Linked DNA regions of Mus musculus. The protein of the gene in region 1 binds, or shares a complex with, the protein of each later gene. Links are inferred from orthologs where the notes say so. Each region holds a gene or a part of one and is shown on either strand. Other genes may lie near its edges.

Evidence for each region.
Region 2: the proteins of Keap1 (region 1) and Fbxl17 are in contact, whole or in part, in a crystal structure (PDB 6W66), measured with the Homo sapiens proteins. The link is inferred for Mus musculus from reciprocal best matches to the Homo sapiens genes KEAP1 and FBXL17. Residues at the interface, in NP_036421.2 of Homo sapiens: His59, Thr60, Ala63, Ile66, Met67, Glu69, Leu70, Gln75, Leu76, Gln82, Lys84, Ala90, His96, Val98, Ala101, Ser102, Ser103, Ser104, Pro105, Val106, Lys108, Ala109, Met110, Thr112, Asn113, Gly114, Val122, Ser124, Glu126, Gln163; in NP_001156787.2 of Homo sapiens: Asp395, Arg397, Arg421, Lys423, Asn447, Gln473, Tyr475, Met524, Arg548, Asn572, Cys574, Leu575, Trp577, Glu596, Tyr598, Val600, Ser601, Asp623, Trp626, Lys628, Tyr647, Met651, Arg652, Val676, Leu677, Asp679, Cys680, Thr683, Leu684, Arg686.
Region 3: the proteins of Keap1 (region 1) and Ptma are in contact, whole or in part, in a crystal structure (PDB 2Z32), measured with the Mus musculus proteins. Residues at the interface, in NP_001103775.1 of Mus musculus: Tyr334, Ser363, Arg380, Asn382, Arg415, Phe478, Arg483, Ser508, Gly509, Tyr525, Gln530, Ser555, Ala556, Tyr572, Gly574, Phe577, Ser602; in NP_032998.1 of Mus musculus: Gln40, Asn41, Glu42, Glu43, Asn44, Gly45, Glu46, Gln47.

What each region holds. Positions count from the first base shown.
Region 1 is NC_000075.6:21,231,849-21,238,398, reverse strand, and holds part of Keap1 (kelch-like ECH-associated protein 1), read left to right. Parts: 5' UTR 1-689; coding exon 690-1,328; intron 1,329-4,325; coding exon 4,326-5,011; intron 5,012-6,496; coding exon 6,497-6,550. UniProt on the Homo sapiens protein: Substrate-specific adapter of a BCR (BTB-CUL3-RBX1) E3 ubiquitin ligase complex that regulates the response to oxidative stress by targeting NFE2L2/NRF2 for ubiquitination.
Region 2 is NC_000083.6:63,496,103-63,503,452, reverse strand, and holds the start of Fbxl17 (F-box/LRR-repeat protein 17), read left to right. Parts: upstream 1-2,872; 5' UTR 2,873-3,435; coding exon 3,436-4,428; intron 4,429-7,350. UniProt on the Homo sapiens protein: Substrate-recognition component of the SCF(FBXL17) E3 ubiquitin ligase complex, a key component of a quality control pathway required to ensure functional dimerization of BTB domain-containing proteins (dimerization quality control, DQC).
Region 3 is NC_000067.6:86,523,999-86,531,034, reverse strand, and holds Ptma (prothymosin alpha), read right to left. Parts: upstream 4,479-7,036; 5' UTR 4,130-4,478; coding exon 4,085-4,129; intron 1,863-4,084; coding exon 1,791-1,862; intron 1,580-1,790; coding exon 1,483-1,579; coding exon of another isoform or gene 1,479-1,482; intron 1,305-1,478; coding exon 1,231-1,304; intron 1,071-1,230; coding exon 1,023-1,070; 3' UTR 323-1,022; downstream 1-322.

The DNA of each region.
Region 1 (6,550 bases):
TTCCAGATGCTGCACACTCTCTTGCCCCAGGAGCTTGGTGTTCGCTTAGTGTTTCCTATACAGACCTTGCTTTATTTTTAGGCCTTTTCTGTCTTCTCGCTGTGTCTCTGGAGCTCAGAGCAGTCCCAAATACATAAATGGCAGGCTCTGTAAATGTTGGTGTGGTGTTGAAAGGAATCTGACATGTTGGACGAAGGCAAGGGGAGGGAAGGATGGCTGGAACAGTGAAGAGGTTGGAAAGCGGGTGTGGAGTTTTACAGGCCATTGACGATTTGGGGTTTCCATTCTTGGGCTCGGTGAAAGGTGTTGGGTGATTCTGAGCAGGAAAAGGAACATGATATGCCCTGAAGGCCCGCGAGTTGAGAAGTTAGTTTGAATGGAGCCGGCTGTGTCCAGTTTACTTGGCTTGGCAAAATCTGCACTTAGATATCATTGCTTAGTCTTGCAAAAAAAGAAGCCTGGCTGGACATGGTGGCACATACTGTAATCCCAGCACTCGGGAGGAGCCAGCTTTGGTTGCATAGTGAGTTGGAAGCCAGCCTAGGCTATGTAAGACCCTGTCTCAAATAAAATAAAATAAAGTGGCAGGGTCTGGTCTAACCCAGCCTCTGTTCCCAGCGCTGTGCTCTTCCCTCCCTCCAGGCCCCTAACGGCTAGCAGAGGAACTGTGTCTTGTCATCAGGAACCCCATGCAGCCCGAACCCAAGCTTAGCGGGGCTCCCCGCAGCAGCCAGTTCCTGCCCCTGTGGTCAAAGTGCCCCGAGGGGGCCGGGGACGCAGTGATGTATGCCTCCACGGAGTGCAAGGCAGAGGTGACGCCCTCGCAGGACGGTAACCGAACCTTCAGCTACACACTAGAGGATCACACCAAGCAGGCTTTTGGCGTCATGAACGAGCTTCGCCTGAGCCAGCAACTCTGTGACGTGACCCTGCAGGTCAAATATGAGGACATCCCAGCTGCCCAATTCATGGCTCACAAAGTGGTGCTGGCCTCCTCCAGCCCAGTCTTTAAAGCCATGTTCACCAACGGGCTTCGGGAGCAGGGCATGGAGGTGGTGTCCATCGAAGGCATCCACCCTAAGGTCATGGAAAGGCTTATTGAGTTCGCCTACACGGCCTCCATCTCCGTGGGCGAGAAGTGTGTCCTGCACGTGATGAACGGGGCGGTCATGTACCAGATTGACAGCGTGGTTCGAGCCTGCAGCGACTTCCTCGTGCAGCAGCTGGACCCCAGCAACGCCATTGGCATCGCCAACTTCGCGGAGCAGATCGGCTGCACTGAACTGCACCAGCGTGCCCGGGAGTATATCTACATGCACTTCGGGGAGGTGAGTGAAGCCGGGCTTTGGGCTCAGAAGTGGGATAGGCCAGCGTGGCGTTCTCCCCTGCGACAGGCTGGAGGAAAACTGTTGGGTGTTTTCTTTTTCCTTCCTTCTTTTCTCCCATAGGGTCTCATGTAGTCCAGGCTGGCCCTAATCTGGTTGGGTATCTGAGGATGACTTTAAATTCCTGATTCCTGTCTCAGTCTGTCGAGTACTGTAGTTACAGACGTTCGCCCTCCCAATACTTAATAGAATGGAGGCCAGCAGTGCCCCGGAACTTGATTTTACTTTTGTTTTTAAATCTTTTTTAAAAAATTATTTGCCTTTAGTTTCTGTGGATTGGCGTTTTGTCTGAATGTTTGTCTGTGTGTGAGGTGTCAGACCTTGGAGTTACAGACAGTTGTGAGCTGCCATGTGGGTGCTGGGATTTGAACTCGAGTCTTCTGGAAGAGGCCAGTAGTACCCTCAACTGTGAGCACCTGTGGTCTTATTTTTTGACAGTATTCTTCTTCTTCTTCTTCTTCTTCTTCTTCTTATTATTATTATTATTATTATTTTGGTTTTGGTTTTTCAAGGCAGGATTTCTCTGTGTAGCCCTGGCTGTCCTGGAACTCACTCCGTAGACCAGGCTGGCCTCGAACTCAGAAATTAGCCTGCCTCTGCCTCCCAAGTGCTGGGATGAAAGGCGTGCGCCACCACACCTGGCTTGACAGTCTTCTTTAGCTGAAGCTTTTTTGTTTTATTTATTTTTGTTTTTCAGGACAGGGTAACAGTCCTGTCTGTCATGGACCTCAATGTGTAGACCAGCCTGGCCTTGAACTAACAGAGATCTTCCTGCCTTTGGGAGTAAAGGCCGCATGTGCCACCACACCTGGCTATTGAAGTTGCTTTTTGTTTTGTTTTGTTTTAAGTCCTGTCTTTGCTGTCACTTTCTGAGTGCTGAGTAACACCAAACTCTGAAGAAGTTAAAAAAAAAAAAAAGATTATATTTATTTGTGTGTGTATACATGTACTGATCTTGTGTGCAAGTCGGAGGACAAATTGCAGGAGGTGGCTCTCGCTACCTTATATACGTTTCTAGGTTAAACTCAGGTAGGCCTGGCAGAAAAGTGCCTTTACCCACAAAGCCACATTGCTGGCCCAAAAACTCAGATTCTGAGCCCCTAATCCAAATACAGAGAGCCCTTAGGAATAGGTAAAGATGTGCCCTCCCAGTGCCTCAGCAGCCTGATCTCCCTGGGGTTAAAAGTTGTGATGGCCAGCCTGAGCTACACAGCGAGACTCTGTCTAAAAAAAGTGGTGTGTGTGTGTGTGTGTGTGGTGGTGGTGGCGGCACTCAGGAGGCAGAGGCAGAGGCAGGCAGATCTCTGAGTTCATGGCTAGCCTGATCTACCAAGGGAATTCCAAGATAGCCAGGGCTACAGAGAGAAACCCTGTCTTGATCTCCTCCAGAGCAGGGCAAAGTGTGATGAGCAGGCAGGCACCAGCACCCGCCAGCCTCACCCATGCAGGCTCCAGCTTTGCTTGGCTTTCCCTGGGTTCACTTGGTATTGCTTTCATTTTCGTTTCTCAGTGCAGGAAGTCTGCAAGAGAAAGTAATGGGACAGTGCTGGGGAAAGCCTTGCTCTTGGGTGGCAGTGACTAGAAAAGTCCCCTGGACACGACTGCATTCTGAATATCACCAACTCTGAAGTGCACCCAAGGCTTTTGAACACCATGTGCCGTCCACACCTGACCTCACCAGATGGGTGGCAGTGACCGCACAGGCACACTGTGCATAGGGCATACCATCTTCAGAGGGCCCATGTGCTGCTGGATTGCTAGGACACTTTCCCAGCATGCGTGAAGCCCTGGGTTCCATGCCCACCTCACATAAACCAAGTGTGGCTGTGCACACCTTTAATCCCAGCACTGGGTAGGCAAAGGCAGGCAGATCTGTGAGGCCAGCCTGCTCTACATAAAGTTCCAGGCCAGTTACACACAGACAAACACACACACACACACATACACACACACAGAGAGAGAGCCTTGAAGCTGTGTAAGGTCAATATGGACCAGCATAAAAGTAGTTTGTTTATTTATTTAGATTTTTGAGATAGCAGGTTGTCATGGCCCTTGGCTTTTGTCTGAAACTCAAGATTCTCACATGTCAGGTTCCCAAGTGCTGAGACTTGACATGGGCCTTGATGGCTCGAGTGAAGTTGTTTATACCATACTCTTATTCCTTAGGTGTCTCATCATTTGTGTAAAATATTCCTACATCTGAAAAAAAACAAGTGCCAAGCTGTAAACTGCCAGTCATTTTATGTTTTATTTTTATTAATCTAAAAATTGTATTGTATTGTATTGATTTAGGGGGCAATGTGTGTGCCACAGTTCATGTGGAGGTCAGAAGACAACTTGCAGGAGTTGATTCTTCCAGCATATGAGTCCTGGGGTTAAATAAACAAACAAACAAATAAACAAATTAAGAACCCAGTGCCTTTCTGAGCTAGTAAAGGCACTCACTGCCAAGCCAGAAGACCAGTCCCAGGAAGGTGAGACCCCCCCCCCATCAGACATGAGTACATTCACACACATACACAATAAGCCAATAAGTAAATGTAATTAAAAACTATGTAGAACAGGTGGCCTGGAACTCACAGACATCTTCCTCTCCCTTCCAAGTGAATATTAGTCCAATGCTGGGATTAAAGGCCAGACTAGGTTCAATTGTTTATTTTGATATAAGATCTTACTATGTTGTCCTAGCTGGTCTGGAACTGGCTTATGGGGACCAATCTGGCCTTGAATTCAGACATCCTCTTGCCTCTGCCTCCCCTGATATGGGGGATTATAGGAGTGTGCCACTACACCTAGCTATATATATATTTTTTTAAAAAAATTAAAACTAAAATCAATACAGGAGCCTAAAGAGTCCACAGTGTGTGGCCTGTGTGACCCCCGGTGTATGGGTGCTCGGCCTGGATGGAGGGCTTCCCTTCTCACCTGAGCTCCCTGCAGGTGGCCAAGCAGGAGGAGTTCTTCAACCTGTCACACTGCCAGCTGGCCACGCTCATCAGCCGGGATGATCTGAACGTACGCTGCGAGTCCGAGGTGTTCCACGCGTGCATCGACTGGGTCAAATACGACTGCCCGCAGCGGCGCTTCTACGTGCAGGCACTGCTGCGGGCCGTGCGCTGCCATGCGCTCACGCCGCGCTTCCTGCAGACGCAGCTGCAGAAGTGTGAGATCCTGCAGGCCGACGCGCGCTGCAAGGACTACCTGGTGCAGATATTCCAGGAGCTCACGCTGCACAAGCCCACGCAGGCAGTGCCCTGCCGCGCGCCCAAAGTGGGCCGCCTCATCTACACAGCGGGCGGTTACTTCCGACAGTCGCTCAGCTACCTGGAGGCCTACAACCCGAGCAATGGCTCCTGGCTGCGCCTGGCCGATCTACAGGTGCCGCGCAGTGGGCTGGCAGGCTGCGTGGTGGGTGGGCTGCTATACGCTGTGGGCGGCCGCAACAACTCTCCGGATGGCAACACTGACTCCAGCGCCCTGGACTGCTACAACCCCATGACCAACCAGTGGTCGCCCTGTGCCTCTATGAGCGTGCCACGCAACCGCATCGGGGTGGGGGTCATAGATGGCCACATCTACGCAGTCGGGGGTTCCCACGGCTGCATCCACCACAGCAGCGTGGAGAGGTGAGCACCGGGGGCCCAAAGAGACGGTACCTGTTCTTGTCCCTGCCTTCATATGAGGTTGAGCGGCTGGGATGTTCATTCTCAGTGTCCAGAGTTGGGAAGTACTGGAGGGGGCTGTCCCAAACCTACAGGAACCACCGCTGCACACTGGGGGTAGTAGGAATTACTCTAATACGTGAATTATATTGTGCAATTTATAATTACTTTAAAAGGTATCATCTGAACGGGGATGTAGTTCAGTGGTAGTGCTCTGGTATCTTTCTTTTTAAAAAGATTTTATTTATGTGTATAAGTACACTGTAGCAGTCTTCAGACACACCAGAAGAGGGCGGCAGATCTCATTATGGGTGGTTGTGAGCCACCATGTGTTTGCTGGGATTTGAACTCAGGACCTTCCGTTGGTACTCTTAACCACTGAGCCATCTCTCCAGTCCTCTGGTCTCTTTCTTGAATCCAGGGTTTAAGGTCTCATCCCCAGCCCTGCCAAAAGGAAGGAGGGAAAAGAAGAAAAAGGGCTGGGGGTGTGACTCAGTTGGCAGAGCACTTGCCCCGCGTTCAGGAAGCCCTCATAAACCCAGCTGTCATCCCAGCGCTCTGGGGGTAGAGGGAGGAGAATCAGGAATTCAATATTTATCTTTGGCTGTATGGCAAGTTCAAGGCCAGCCTGGGATATAAGAGACCCTGTCTCAAGACAGACAAACAACCCCCCCACACACACACACACAAATTTAGGGCTTGGAGCAAGGGTAAGAAAATGAGAAAAAATTTTAATTTTGTATTTGTAGTGCTGGGAATAGAACCTAGAAATCTATGCTTGCTAGGTCAGCTGTCTACCCCAAGCTAACCCCGCCCATGCCTGAAAATGGAAATGTAAACAAATGTGCTAGGGGCTCTAATGTGTGTGGTCTGTGAATAGGGTGGCCCCTTCAAGGACTGTAGGATGCAGGGATGGACTGGACGCTGCTGGGCTAATGGGGCGTGTTCACCCATCTCTGATCATGTTGCTCAGAGAACCACCTGGGAGACCCAGTTAGACATTTGGAGTTGAACACCTGCCCAGATGTCACTTAGTGACCCTGGATGTCCTACCCCACATGTCTGTAGCAAATCTTGTGGTGTGAGGCAATGAATCCTGCTAGGGGTGAAGTGCACAGGTGCTGCAGCCCTAAGGGGTAAAGCCGTCTAGGCTAGAGGGAATTGCTGTTGCTGTCAGTCATAATTGATGACAGTGAACCTGGATTCTGATGACCCCTCACTTCTGGAGCCAGGCCTGGTGCTGCACATCCTTCATCTCTCCGCACTGGGGAGACTAAAGCAGGAGATCGCGGAGAGTTCAAGGCTAGCTTGAACTACATAGCAGGGTTCTATCTCAAAACAAACAAAAAACCAACCAAACAAAAACCTAAAAATAAATGTGCAAGCAGATGGAGGGCCGTGGTGTAAGGGTTGACCACGGGTGACCACGGGGTATTATGTCTTTTGCAGATATGAGCCAGAGCGGGACGAGTGGCATCTAGTCGCGCCAATGTTGACACGGAG
Region 2 (7,350 bases), on another chromosome or scaffold:
GCCCTCATAATACAGAATGTATTATCCACCTCTTCTGTCCACTATGTGTCTAGAGGAGGTTCTTGTGTTTGATGCATTCAGACATGATTGTGGAAGGCTCTTACTTCCATCTTTTTTCTATGGCCACATTGGTCATACATGACATTGATGTTTGGTGATTGCTCATGCTTAAGAGAACATGTCATTTAGCTGACAATTCCAGACCAGATGCTGTTAGACCACCAAGGGTTACCTGTAAGCACCAGTCTAGTCTCTCACTATTCAGGATTATGGGGTTTATTCATTTTTAACAATCAGCTGCCAAAACTCTTGCTGATAGTTTCATTTCTTGAAAATTTCTTGGCATTACTCTTTAGGGTAATGAGTTCTTACAGTTTTGGTGATTATTTTAGTTATTTCTCTATTGCTTTGATAAGAAGACACCATGACTAAAGTCACTCATAGAATAGTTTATCTGGGCTCACCATTTCAGGACTAGAGTCCTTGTTTGCAAAGTTCAGGGCATGACACCTGAAGCTGGAAGCTAAGAGTTCACATCCCGAACTTGTTGGAAGCAGAGAACACAATCTGAGAATGGCACACAGCTCTGAAACCTCAAAGCCTGCTCCACAGCTCTCCCATCAAGGTTACTGCTCCTAGATCTACCCAAGCAGCAGCACCAGCTGGGGTCCAAGTAGTAAATGTTTGAGTTTACAGGAGACATTTGTCATTAAAACCACAATGACAATAATAGTGATTTACTGTCCCCTCTCCCCACTCCTGTTTTAAAGAGTGACTGTAGCCCAGGCATGCCTTGAATTGGTGACAATGTTCTTGCCTCAGCCACCTGAGGGCTGGTATTAGAGATGTGGAACCCTAGATGGGGAGCTGTGGTGTGGTGAAGAAAGAGTTAAGTGTAAATGTTTAAGTCTGAGGAATTCTGTTTTGTTTTCTCAAGAAGATCTATGTGGGTGAAGGAAGCAAGCAGTCAGAACAGACACACACCTTTCTAACTATCCAACACAAATGTCACTTCTCAGGCAGAATTCAACAAGACCAAGGGCAACTTGTTCACTTCTGACTGGCTAAGGATTATAATAGCTACCGTGAACTTCAGAAACTTAAAAGTCTCAGAGTCTGCCTACCTCATCTTTAGAAACGTTAAGTTGCAGTTCGAGTGCATATGTGCCCCTGATGGGTATGCATGGTGCCAGGCTCTCTATAAAGGACTTGCTAAAATCAGGAAGGCATTCTCGTTTCTAACTCCACAGTCTGATTCAACACACATTTATGAGATCCATTCATATTCTATTTTATTTTTAATTCAAGAGTAGTGGTGCACTGAATATTCCAGCTTCCTCATTCTCCCACTGACAGACATCTGGGCTCCTTGAGAGTTTTGCTCTCATCAGTACATTTGCGTTTCCATACAAGTCTTTTTGCAGACAGGACTTTATTTCTCTTGGTGAACACAAGATGTGGGTCTTTATGTGCCAAAGGGTAGACGAATGCTTGACTTACAAGAAACTGACAGGGCTGTACTTTCTGCACAATTTTAGCTTCATTTGCTCTAGAAAAGAGCCAAGCCGAGATGGCCATAACTTGACGATTCACGAATGGAGCTCTGAGAGCCTGGAAGACCCTTTCCTCGATTACAGGCAGAAGAACCATGGGCATGTGGGGGATATCCGTAGGTGAAGGAGTTCAGACAGCACATTTGAGAGTAACAAATATGTGAATATCTGGACAAATCTTTTTCCCATTGGTTTTTGAAATTCTGATATCCTCAACTCTCTCCCCGGTAGCTTTTGAATATACCCAGGGAGTATATTCTTCAGCAGGGAGGGGTGGGGCTTCTTTTAATGAAGAGTAGAAACTGCCAGAAACAAATCACCTCATTTCTTCGCAGCCTTTGTTTCTTTTCTGCCACTCCCCCCACTGACACTTTTTCTAAAGTCCTCTCCACTGCCTGATCCACTGCTTTGGACTCTTAGCATGGTTTCAAAGTTCCCTCCAAAACTTACCCTGAAATTTGCTACTGTTAACAGTATGCATGCAACATTCCTAAGGGGGTCCTTTAAGAGGTGATGAGGACACTAGAGTTCCGCCCTCCAGGAACAAATTGTTACCACAAGAGTAGGTTCCCGATAAAAAATGATAGACAGTTTCCGGCGCTTTTACCCTGCCACTTAGCTGACACTGCATGTTATTCTACTTTCCAAAGCCTCCAGAGCGAGATAAACTTCTTCATAGTTTACTGTTGTATGTAGCATTGTTATAGCAGCAGAAGAGACTAAGACAACTAACTTTCCCTACCTTCTCCCCTGTGAAAGCTGACCTCTCCCCATCCGAGAACCTGTGTCATCACTGTAACTTAAGACTTCTGAAGTCTGATCAACTTGCATGTTTTAGTTCCCCACCTTAGCCACCAAAGTCTGTCCTAAGGGCACCACACTAATATTCACAGAGTGGACAGACTGGATTTCAAGGTGTCAAACAACAGTAACATTGAGCTTGGAGCCTGGAATGTTGGAGTGTTTTTTCCAGCGTGTATACCTGTTTTCAGCGTGATACATGTTTTCAGCCCGCAATTGTGTGCAAAGGCAGCAGTATGCAACAGGTGCCTAGACACAGGAGTAGAATCAGTGTAGTCACCTAGCTAACGGATCCTTACTGGACTGTCACCCATCACCCAAGGGCTCAGGCCTCTCAGGTGGAACTGGTTCTTCCGTTCTCAATTGGCCTCAGTTTCCGAGTCAGGGCGATGGTGGGGTGGGAAGTGAAGGGGAAGAGCCAAGCTGAGCCTGGCCAATGGCAGCTCTTGAACTTACACCTCCAGACGTCAGCGCGGCCGTGGAAACGGATGTCACCCAGCTGGCTCGGAAGCGTCTCCATCCGCTTCGGGAGAGGGGCGTGAGCCCGGAGGCGTCCAGGCCACCTCCGTGTGCAGCCGGAGGGAGTGCGCGGCCCCGTCAGCGCGCAGCCCCGAGGTCCCCGCTTCTCCCCCGGCGGCGCTCCCGCCCCTGGGTGAGACCCGCGCGCCCCCGCGGGCGGCTCCGCCCCCTCCCGGAGCGGGCGGCGCGCTCCCGCGGCGACGGGCCGTGTCGCGGGCTCGCGCGCCGCCGGCCCAGCCGCAGTTAAAATGGTCCGAGTCGGGCCCGCGCTGCCCCCGCCGCGGCGCTGACTGACTGAACCGGCTGGCCTGGCCGGCAGACTCGCTTCCCTCCCTCGCGTCCCCACAGCTCGCGCCCGTCCTCCTCCCGGCTCCCCGGGGGGCAAAGCATGTAGCCCGCGTCGGGCACCCGGGCGGCCCGCAGCTGACGCCCACCCCCGCCGTCGCGTGTGCCGGGTGCGCGGCGCGGGCGACCCAGCCAGCGGCCTGCCCCGCCGCCGGAGCCCGCCCCTCGGGCCTCCCTCTCCCGCCCCGTCCCGGTCGCCCTCCTCGGGGCCTTCTATATGGGCCACCTTCTCTCGAAGGAGCCGCGTAACCGCCCGAGCCAGAAGAGGCCTCGCTGCTGCAGCTGGTGTCGCCGCCGGCGCCCTCTCCTCAGACTGCCCCGCCGGGCTCTGGCCAAGGCGTCCCCGCAGCCCGCGGCGCCCCGGAGCCGGGACTGCTTCTTCCGCGGGCCCTGCATGCTCTGCTTCATCGTGCACAGCCCCGGCGCGCCCGCCTCCGCCGGCCTAGAGGAGGAGCCGCCGCTCTCGCCACCGCCGCCGCCGCCGCGGGACGGGGCCTACGCCGCCGTCTCCTCGCAGCACTTGGCGCGGCGCTACGCGGCCCTGGCCGCCGAGGACTGCGCCGCCGCCGCACGCCGCTTCCTGCTGTCCTCGGCCGCCGCCGCCGCCGCCGCTGCCTCGTCGCCCGCGTCCTGCTGCAAGGAGCTGGGGCTGGCCGCCGCCGCCGCCTGGGAGCAGCAGGGCCGGAGCCTCTTCCTGGCCGGCGTGGGGCCCGTGCGCTTCCTGGGACCGCTGGCCGCCGTGCAGCTCTTCCGGGCACCGCCGGCGCCGCCGCCGCAGGCCGAGCCCGCCACGGCCCTCGAGATGGTTTGCAAGCGGAAAGGGGCCGGGGTCCCCGCCTGCACCCCCTGCAAGCAGCCCCGTTGCGGCTGCGGGGGCTGCGGCGGGGGCGGCGGCGGCGGGGGAGGGCCCGCGGGAGGAGGTGCCTCGCCGCCGCGGCCGCCCGATGCCGGCTGCTGCCAGGCCCCGGAGCAGCCCCCGCCGCCGCTCTGCCCCGCGCCCGCCTCTCCCGCCTCAGAGTGTGCCCCCATCGTGGCCGCCGCCGGGGACACAGTCCGAGCCGGGGGCACCGCCCCCTCGTCTGCCCAGCAGCAGCCCGAGAGCGGCGACGCGGACTGTCAGGAGCCCCCCGAAAACCCCTGCGACTGTCACAGGGAGCCGCCCCCCGAGATCCCAGACATCAACCAACTGCCGCCGTCCATCCTGCTTAAGGTGGGTCTGGGCGAGGAGGCGCAGGGATGCTCACTCCCCCCCCCCCGCCCCCCTAACCCGGCTCCCCCGCCTCCGAGGCTTTCTCTCTCCTCCCCCTGTGTGCAGAGGAGGGGGGGGGGTTCCCTGACAGCCGGGGGACGCCGGAAGGGGAGACTGGGAAGCCAGTGGGGCCTGAGCTTTCAGCCTGGTGTTGAAGTAGGAAAACTTGGAGGCTGCTGAATGCCTCGAAGTAGCTTAGGTCCTACAACTCGGGGTTCATGCATTGCATTGGCAAACCCCCCAATATAGATACTATACTAGATTCTGTGGAATATACACGCATTTCTTGAGCAAGTTGTATACAGTGGGCAACCACTTTGCATACTGGTGTTTGGAAAGTTTAAAAGTTTGATGGATGCTAGTCTAGTGGCAATAACTTATAGTAAGCATTTACCACGACCAGACACTGACCGAGTGAATGGCAGGCCTTGGTCAGTGTGTTCCTCTGTAGACATCTTTTGAGTGTACTGTCCCGAGGACTTGAATCCTCTCTCAGGGAGTTGAGGAAAGGTCTTCCTGAATGGGGGAAGTTGTTTGCTTGCTCCGGAAAACTTGCAAACCATTGGTTCAGAAGCTGATTTACAACTGGTGTGTGGTCTTTATAAGAAATCTGAGAAGCAGAGAGTGGCTCTTCAAAGGTCAGCTCTGGGAATAGCAGTTTTCCCAAGTACTTAATAAACCTGTTAGGTCTCTGGTTACTGCATTGTTCTGAATCAAATAAACTAGCCTCAGATTTTGCTACTTGTTGCTTTTACAACTTGAAGCAGTGTTACATACTGAAACTGCCGCTAGATTTTTATATGATCAGCCATTGGGTAACAGTTTCCTTACTTATTTTCCCTTTGCAATAATGGTCACCTTGAGCTAAACATTCAATAGGAGCATAATGTTTAGATTGTTACCTTGCTCTCAGTGAGTAAGCCTGTTTCCTTCCAAAATGTAGTAAAGGGGAGAACTTGTCTGACATCACCATTAGAAAGCCTTCTCTACAAGTCTTTTCCACTCTGATATGTCAGTAGATAGGAAGTCTTCATTTTGGTAGGTTTGTTTCAGTTGGGCTGGGTTAATGGTCAAGGTAGTTTCCGGAGGGAAGTTTGCTTGGTAGAAAGCCTGGAAAGTTTTAGGAAGGTAGGTTTACCTCATTTCCTTTCTAAGTGGGCTATGTGGTCTTAAGCTAATTACAATACCGAAAAGTGCTGTGTGTTTACTTAAGAATTATGTCAGTTGTTTTGTAGTGAAAGCTGTCAGAGTAGGGTTGTTACCTTGAGTCTTGGCGCTTCAGGTTGTATAAGATGCTGGAGAGAAGGGGTATTTAAGAACTACTTCAGATTAGCATAGTCAGTTCCAAAGTTGGCCAACCTTCTGGGGTATCCTCCCTCTTATCTACCACCTACATATTCAATTCCTTTTCGAAGTGAGTAAGCAAAACTAACCTAGATCCATGTGGATGGTGTCAGTGATGTGTGGGTCAGAAGTGCCATTTACCTTGACCGGAGAGAAAACTGGAGAAGTACTGGTCCAGACTTGTTTCAGCTCGGCACCTTGGACATGCAGAGAACAAATGAGTCCTTTAAAACTGTGCAGTCACTGAGATAGCTCAGCCTGGAAAGGCGCTTACCAGTGAGCTGATGACCTGAGTTCAGTTATAGGAACCAACATGATGAAAGGAGATAAAGCACTCCTGCAGGCTGTCCTGCCTCCACAGGTGACACACACACACACACACTCTCACTCTTCCGCATGTACACACACAGTCTTGTGTATATTTTTATACATTTGTGCACACACAGTGAGCATGTGCATACATACACTTTTCTATGTACACAAACAATGGAATGTAAAAACATTTTAAACTTTTAAAAAAAGTCACACAGATGACTTAGTTTCCTCAAATCTTTATTTTCTCATCTATAAAATCAGGAGAATGAGCATAAAAATATCGGAGAGGGGCCATGGTTGCATGACAAATGAGTCTTTTCCAAGGAAAACCAAACCTGTCCAACCATTTGAGCTCTAGAATTAAATAAAAGACAAATACTCAGGAGGATTTATCTTAGGAAACTGTTTAAAAAGTCAGTAGTGGAATTTTGCAGCTTCTTGGTAGGTGCTCCTGGCATGACCTACACAAGGTCTAGCTCAGTGTAGGACAATAAGTTAAAGCCAGTTGCTAACCAATAGCAGAGGACTTGGTAGGAAAAACTAAAAGGAAAACTCACATAAAGATGGCCTGAAGGTTAGTGCCACTTGGAGGAGTGGGGAAGGAGCTGGAAGTGGAGCAAGTAGCCAGAGGAAACGGGGGGTGGGGGGAAACAAGCAGGGATAATCTTTTCACACATCTTGGTTTATTACAACCGCATGTGTGGATGAGGGCCGGCAGGAAGGAATGGCCAAGGTGGATCGACAAATTGGCTAAGATAATTATCCCAGTAATTGTAGCACTTGGAGGCAGATGCTGGAGGATCACAGATTGGAGGCCAACGTGATCCAGACCCCATTTCATAAACAAAACAAAAGACAACACTGGCTGGGCCTTAGACATCCCTTGTCTGACCCGTACTCAGACTGACGAGCAGGCTAGACAGTTCAGAACCAACTTTCCAAGACACTGAAACAGCTATGCAGACACAGCAGTTTCCCAGGGAGCCAAGCTAAAGGACAAGAGGATACTAGTGGAACAGACACTTGCACCATAGCGAACAGATTCCAGAAGGAACAGGCCAGTTAAAAATAAAGAGACCCAGAAAGGCCCAAGTCTGTAGTTGTACTGTGTTACCTGAAATACCTAAACATTTTTGAGCTATGAGGAAAAAGAAAGCCGGGAGAAACTGACACCAAGAGGCTTCAAAGAATTCAAAAGGACTATTGTAAATAACAGGATACAGG
Region 3 (7,036 bases), on another chromosome or scaffold:
TCACAACTTGGAACAAGATGACTTGGCCTGTGCCACCAAGGGCTCTGTGTACAGCACATCTCTCCAGTTTATGCCTGGGACTAGTGGCCTAAGTCTCAGGAAGAAATGTTGGTGTCACAACAGTAAAGAACCTCTCCCAATGCCCCATGATTAACTGCAGCTTTGTCCTGACCTTCCCCGTAGAACTTTAAAAATGCCATCCAATTCCAGGACTACCCTCTCCCCAGAAAAACGGGTGTTGTGGCACATAACCACTCACTCAGGACGTTCTGGGTATAGAAAAGACCCCATCCCAAACAAAGTACACACAGAAAAACCAGGCTTTGAGACACCATTGTTAGAACAACTCAGCAAAATAAAATTCCGGTTTATTGTTGGACATTGTTTCACACATACATCAAACAGGCCAAAAAAAAATAAACAGCAACTTCATAGACAGAAAGAAAAGGAAAAAAAAAATCTTTTTATCTTTGGCCTTTTTAACCATCTCATACAAACCAACTACTTATAGTACAGCTAGGTACATACACAAAAGTTACTGGAATGCTCGGAATAAGATTGTTTTTTTGTTGTTGTTTTTGCTTTTTTTTACAAGGTTTTTTTTTTCTCCTTTGAGATTATAATGAACATGGTCACACCACAAGTAAAGTCTGAAGTAGGACAGAAAACGCTCTGAAGGCTGGTTTGGTCACCCGTTATCATTAAAAATGGCTGACCCCTAACAATATGTACAAAAATATAAAATGTAAATAAAAAATACAAACAAATTTTCCTTTTAAAGTATTTTTAAGAAAAAAAGTAGGGCCTGGGAAGTTCTGGTTCTTTTTTCCTCCCATGTTGCCAATTCATGTTGTAGTTTTGGAGGGGTGGTGGAGAGCGCATGTCATATCTGTGGGTGGCATTGCCCGCTGTGGGCGGGCGGGGCCTGCTTCTCTACTCGAAGGTGACCACGTTTAAATTCTGAGACGGGAAGTGGAGGGTGAATAGGTCACGGTGCGTAAGGTTATTTTTCCTTTTGCTGTCTAGTCATCCTCCTCGGTCTTCTGCTTCTTGGTGTCCACATCGTCATCCTGTAGAGAACATCAGGCCTGTGACTACACATAAGCTCCCTAGGCCTTGGCCCACAACTCCCAGAGAGCAAAGCTGGGATGGGGTCCACTAAGAACCCTTCACCATTTGCCAGAAACCCCCAAAGCTTTTAGTGCCCCAGGAAAGGAACCTCACACATACCTCATCATCCTCAGCTACCCGCTTGCCCGTAGGAGCCTCAGCTTCCTCATCTTCATCTCCATCCTCCTCCTCACCTGGAGAATCAATCAAGGCCCACATAAACCACTATCCTCCCAGCTGCAGATCAAGAACGGCCCCAATAGGAGGGTGGAGTACACTGCAGTTCAAAGTGGTCCAACTGCCCAGAAACCCAACCTCTCCCTTCTGGCAGTAAAAGCCAAGGAAGGAACCTGAGAAAACAAGACTACTCACCGTCACCTTCTTCCTCCTCCTCCTCTTCCTCCCCACCTTCTTCCTCTTCTTCATCTACCTCATTGTCAGCCTCCTGCTCCCCATTTTCCTCATTTTGCTTTAACAGAAAACACATCTGCCATTAGCCAGCTCTGAAGCAGGCCTGTATATCTAGTGCACCTTGCCCCTCCCCACACCATACAGCTACCACACCACCTCCCAAACAAAAATCAGACAAGTTCCCTTGTCTGGTCCAACATCCTGAACTAAGCTGAAAATTTAAAAAAGTATAAACTGGGAACACAAGCCCCAGCTACTTGGACACTCACAGCGTTCCCATTGGCAGGTGCATCTCTTCCATTCTCTGCCTCCTCCACAACTTCCTTCTTCTCCTTCAAGTCCTTTAGAAGGAAGAGGAAACCCGTTAGTCTTCAGAACAATAGAGGGCCACCCATCAGCCAAAGTGCTGAAAACTAGACAAAGCTGGTCCACAGGACCAATCTGAGTCACTGGCTACTTGGCCACCCTAGGGTAATGTCAGCATGGACCATAGTAGGTACTCAAGGCCTGTAGTCCAAATCCTATGCTTTCCATCTTCTAGATACATTGAAAACAAGGCAGACTCATGTGTCGACTCAACGCACTCCTCTACCATATGGCATCATAGCCACAAACCCGCCAGGCCAGGCAGACAAGCTCGGGAACTGTAGCCCTTACCTGCACGCCCTTTGCCGCCGGTTTCCAGCTAGAGGGAGCTCCACCCCTCAGAAACCCTTCTTGGAAGGCAGTGGCTGTGTGCCTTAAATAAATAAGGTAGAAGGGAGGAGCCAGTCGACGGTCATTCGCTCAGGAATGGATGGGAGAGTCTGGATGGGGATCGGAAAGCGCCTGGGCATGCAGAAACACCCCCTTCAAGTCACACCAGCCATGCTTGGTACTAGGGACCTCCTGGCCTCCACAGCCCAAAGGAAATAAACTAGCACTCTGGGCCCTGCGGCTTCGGGGCCGGACCACTGGGTAACTTTTCCCACTACGACGGCTGAACGGTCGGCTCGGTCGGGGCCCAGGAACATGGTCCAGCTAATTCCGCCGGTGCACCGCTGGGTTACCTGCCGGCAATGGTGGGTTCGCGCCCACCGGAGGCCTGCCTAGGACCCCACTGCACCCGCTTCCGCCCCCTGGCGGCCGAAGCCCGGGGGAGTGAGTGGGGGCGGGGTGGCAGCGGTGCGCAGGCGCATAGCTCACCCAGCGAACTACGCGCGCGAGCCTCTTGCACGCACCGCGCGCAAAGAGCACGTGGCCCGGGGCGCCAAGTGCGCCCTGTGCCCTGGAGACCCGAGGTCCGCTTTCATCCAGGGGAGCGGAGTCACCCACTGGAGAAAGCCCGCTCCGTGCTGCCCCCTGGGGTCCTGCCTGTGAGGGGCAACACGCGGCTTCCGGCTCCGATTTTGGCGCCAAGCTCTCGCGGTAGGTCACCAGGGACTCGGAGCTCCTCGGCTCCGACCCTCGAGACCTTCGGGGGGGGCGCTCCCTAGGAGCGCTGGACCTCGCGGGAATTCACCTGAGACTCCCGCCGAGGGCGGAGGTGGGACCATGCTTGCTACAAAGTGTTACAGCGGTGGCGGGCATCGCTCCAGAGCGCGCTCTGCACGGGGTCGCACCAGCCGAGGGAGATGGCGAGCCACGGGAGTTTAAAGAAACAAGGCGACTGGGACTGAGTCCCCACTGCGGGACAAGCGGGGTGCGAACATCGAGGTGTTTGAAAGCAACGAGTCCGAACCGAACACGGCTGAGGGTGGAGAAGACTCCACCGGGAGGGCGAGCCCCTGCCTCAGGACCCCAGCCAGGACCGCGGTGCTGCGCGGGCTTCTAGACCGCCACGGCACCACCGCAGCTGGGGAGCCGTGGGGGGGCGTCCAGCCGCTCCGCAGCTTCACTTTCTATTTCCTCCCCCTCTCGCGTGGGCTCGCCGCCCGGGCCCAACCCCGTCAGCAATGACTGACCCTGCGACGAGGTCCGCCGCCGCGGGGACAAACACGACCACCCGCGTTCACCCGTGGCTGCGGACCAGACCCTTAGGTGTCGCGGTCAGAATCCCCCCAGCGCAGCACGCCGCCCCATCCGCGTCATCCCGGATAACCGGTGGCCGGCCCGCTATAGGGCGCGAACCCGGGCGCCTAACAAAGAGCGACTCGGCCGCGGGCGCCCTCAGCTCGCCGGCGCCGCACACGCGCCCCCCACACTTCCGACTGCGGACGCGCCGGAGTTTCAAAGTTATTTCCGTGCGCCGCGGCCCCGCGACCCCGGCCCCGAGAGCGCTCAAACCATTCGCAAACAAGTTTCGAGAATCCGCGTCTCGGCCCTCCCCGTTTGCGTCCGAGTTCCGAGGCGACCCCAGGCCATCGGCCAGCTCCCGACGGCGGCACCAATGCCCGCGCCGCTTCGCGCCCCCTCCCCCGCACACAAAGAGTGTTGCCCGGGGCCATCGCGCCGCTGGAGGGTGGCGGGGTCGCCTGGAAAAGCGTTTGCGTGATGCTTTCCTGAAAGCCCGCAACCACGCGCCCCAACGCCGCCCGGGCGACGGCGCGCAGACCCCGAGGGGGCGGGCGGCGTCCAGCCTCACCTTGGTGGTGATCTCGGAGCTGGTATCCACTGCCGCGTCTGACATGGTGGGGCACGCCGGTGGTCCGATGCCGCGAGTGAGGGAATTAAAAGTCGAGTTCGAGGACTCTGGCGAGAGAGCTGCCGGAGTCCGCGCTGGAGGAGGCGGTGGGCGGCGAAGGTGGCTGCAGCGAGCGCGGAGCACGACCCAGGAACAATGCAAAGATGGCTTTTCGGAGCAGCCAGTGGGGGACTCACGCGGCGCCAGAAGCTTTAATATAGATTAGTGGGCGGTGCTCAGCCACCCTAGTCCCGGCGCTATTGGCTGAGCGCAGGGAGCGGGCGTCCTCTCATTGGCTCGATTCCGAACAATGGGCAAGTGAGCTTAAAGCGGCAGTGCCTCGGCTTGGCGCGCGCTGCGCAGTCCCCCGCCGCACTGTCATTCAGAGTGTTGAATTTTGTTGGGTCTCGCCACGCCGGAGGGGGGTCGCGCGCGTGCGCGCTCCCGCAGCTGTTTTGCTAAGGCCTCTGACGCAGAAAGCTAAAGCGCGGCAAAGCTGCCCGCCCAGCCCCGGTCCTCCCCCTCCCTCGCGACTGCTCGGAAGAAGGAGGGGGAGGGAGGGAGGAGGGGGAGCGGGAGCACTGCCCGCCAGGGGGAGGGGGAGGGGAAGGCGAGCGATGGGCGGCGCTTGCCCCGGGCGGTGTCCCGCGTGGTTCCCGCGCCCGGGACCTGCCCGCACCGAAGAGCAAGTTGTCCCAGTTCAAGTGAACATCAGTCCACACAACGGGGTGACTGTGACTCGCACCTTCCGCCCCGTCCTCCTTTCCCTCCGCCTCGATGACACTAGTGATCCCCACCGCCCACCACTGTCCCGCCGTCCAGGGTCAGCTCCGGAGTGGGCCTCGCGCCCTGCACACTTGGGGGGACTCATGCGAAAGTCCCGGTGTCCTCGAGCGAGACAGGCCTGGGGCCTCACGCCACAAGGCGGTGTCGCGCCTCAGGGCTCTCTGGTCAGCGTCTGCTGTAAGAGGTCACTGCCGTCGCGACAGCTCTTAACATCATCCAGAGCCCCGCCCGGCCATCGAGTTTACCCCTCTCCCCTAACATTTTGCAGGCTCCAGTGGGCATATGAACAGTGTGCAACTGGGAGAAACTTGTCTCCCCGGCCATTAGGACTAGTCCTTGAAGGGGTTCCTTCAAACTTGAGCCATTTACGGTACCACGCGGAGCCTGAGAAAAGAAAAACCATAAAGACGCCACACTCAAGATGGCGTTGGACTCGGCAAGCGTGGCGTGACGTGGCGACTCGGCTCACGCGAACAACTTCAAAATACTATATTACTCCATTTTTAGCGCTGTCTCACTTGGCTGTCGAACTAAGGAATTTGCCCTGTGAGAAGAGCGACCAGAATGGCTATAAACGGGTTCGGAGAAACGACTTCGCCACACTCAAGATGGCGGCAGATAGCGTCCGACTGTGTGTCGCCAGGAGGGGGCGCCCGACACGGAAGGCGGGACTTGGGAGAAACCCGCACACACTGGCTGAGAGTGGCGGGCGAACACAAAGTTGACGCTTTGCGCCCTGCCATTGGTCATTCCTGCTGTCTGTCTCCTGGGGGCCGTGGAATCGGGAGTGAGGAAAACCCGGAGTCTTGAATCGGGGAGGGTGAATGGGTGCCAAGTCCCTTAGAGCTTTGAGGTCGAGGCGAGGAGACTGAACTGCCCTTATGGCTCACCCCCGGCGTTTGGGCCCATCCTCACCCGGAGGCCCCTATGCGGAGCTTGAGGAGAGGAGAGGAACGTGCAGTGTCGGGAAACTGTTGCAGTTGGACCCAGGGTCGGCCCGCGAGCCGCACGTGGCCGGCCCGCATCCCCGCGCGCACGTGCCAGTCCCGCCACCAGCCGCTTGGGCCTGTGTGAGCTTTTCCTTTAAGGAGAAAGCCTTGCCGCCGCCCTTTGGCCTGCGCTCACTCCCGTTGTCCAGCGGTTGCTCCTGTCCTGGCAGCCCCTGGCAAGGGAGGGTGTGAAGGCCCCCGGGGTCTCGCTCTTCTCGGAGCACACTAATGGCCGGAGACGGTTATCGCGCCCCAGCGCCCTAGGTTGCACAAACTGCCTGAGTCCGAACTGCCCCACCCCCGCCAGCGGGCTTTACTGTGATGAGGATATGGAGCTTAAACAGGGAAGGGCCTTTGAGCTGCAGCTGCCCAGACCCCTTTTTTGTAGATAGGGAGGGACGGTGCTTCAATATAAACAGAAAGGAGGATGCTTTCTACCTGGTGCTTATCCATTAAGCTCCCGTTATTCTCTAGAGGATTGTTCCATCTACAAAACCCAGATGCACAAAGAGCTTGGCCTATACCACCCACATCTTAGTTGTGGTTTCTGAGTTCTGGATTGGGAGAGCTGAGGGAGGCAAGGTGGCAATCAGTGAGAAGCTGGATAAGTATGAACTTCCCTCGAAGAAGAACTGCTTTATCTAGTCTTGTGCATGCCCGTGCCTCTACCATAAGGGAGGAAGGCCCACGCATCTGGTTGTAGAAGCACTATCTATGTTCAAGCTAAGCTTACGGACCTCCTGCTGTATTCATGACAGTGTTTGGCTCATACAAAGAAAAAAAAATCCATAGGTTCTAGAAAGGAAGTTAGAGTTATCAAATAAGCCATGGTCAGAGCTCCCGCTATCCTAGTATGTTTGAGAAGACCAGGAACAGAAGTCTCCTCTGGGCCTTTTGTCTGGCCACAGGAGTCTTAAGAGCCAGGAACTGCTGTAGTTGCTGGGACTATGAAGAGTCCCTTTCTTTCCTTAACAGGTTGTTCTACCTCTTCAGCTGTTTGTGAGAGGGCTGGTCTTACTGTCTGTACTTCCACTCATCCATGTATCTTAGGCCTTAGGCTGCTCCAGAGGCCGGAAGTGAAGTACTTCCATGGTGTTACCCAAGTCTCTCCAAACAAGCTAGTGAGTCCTAACAGGCC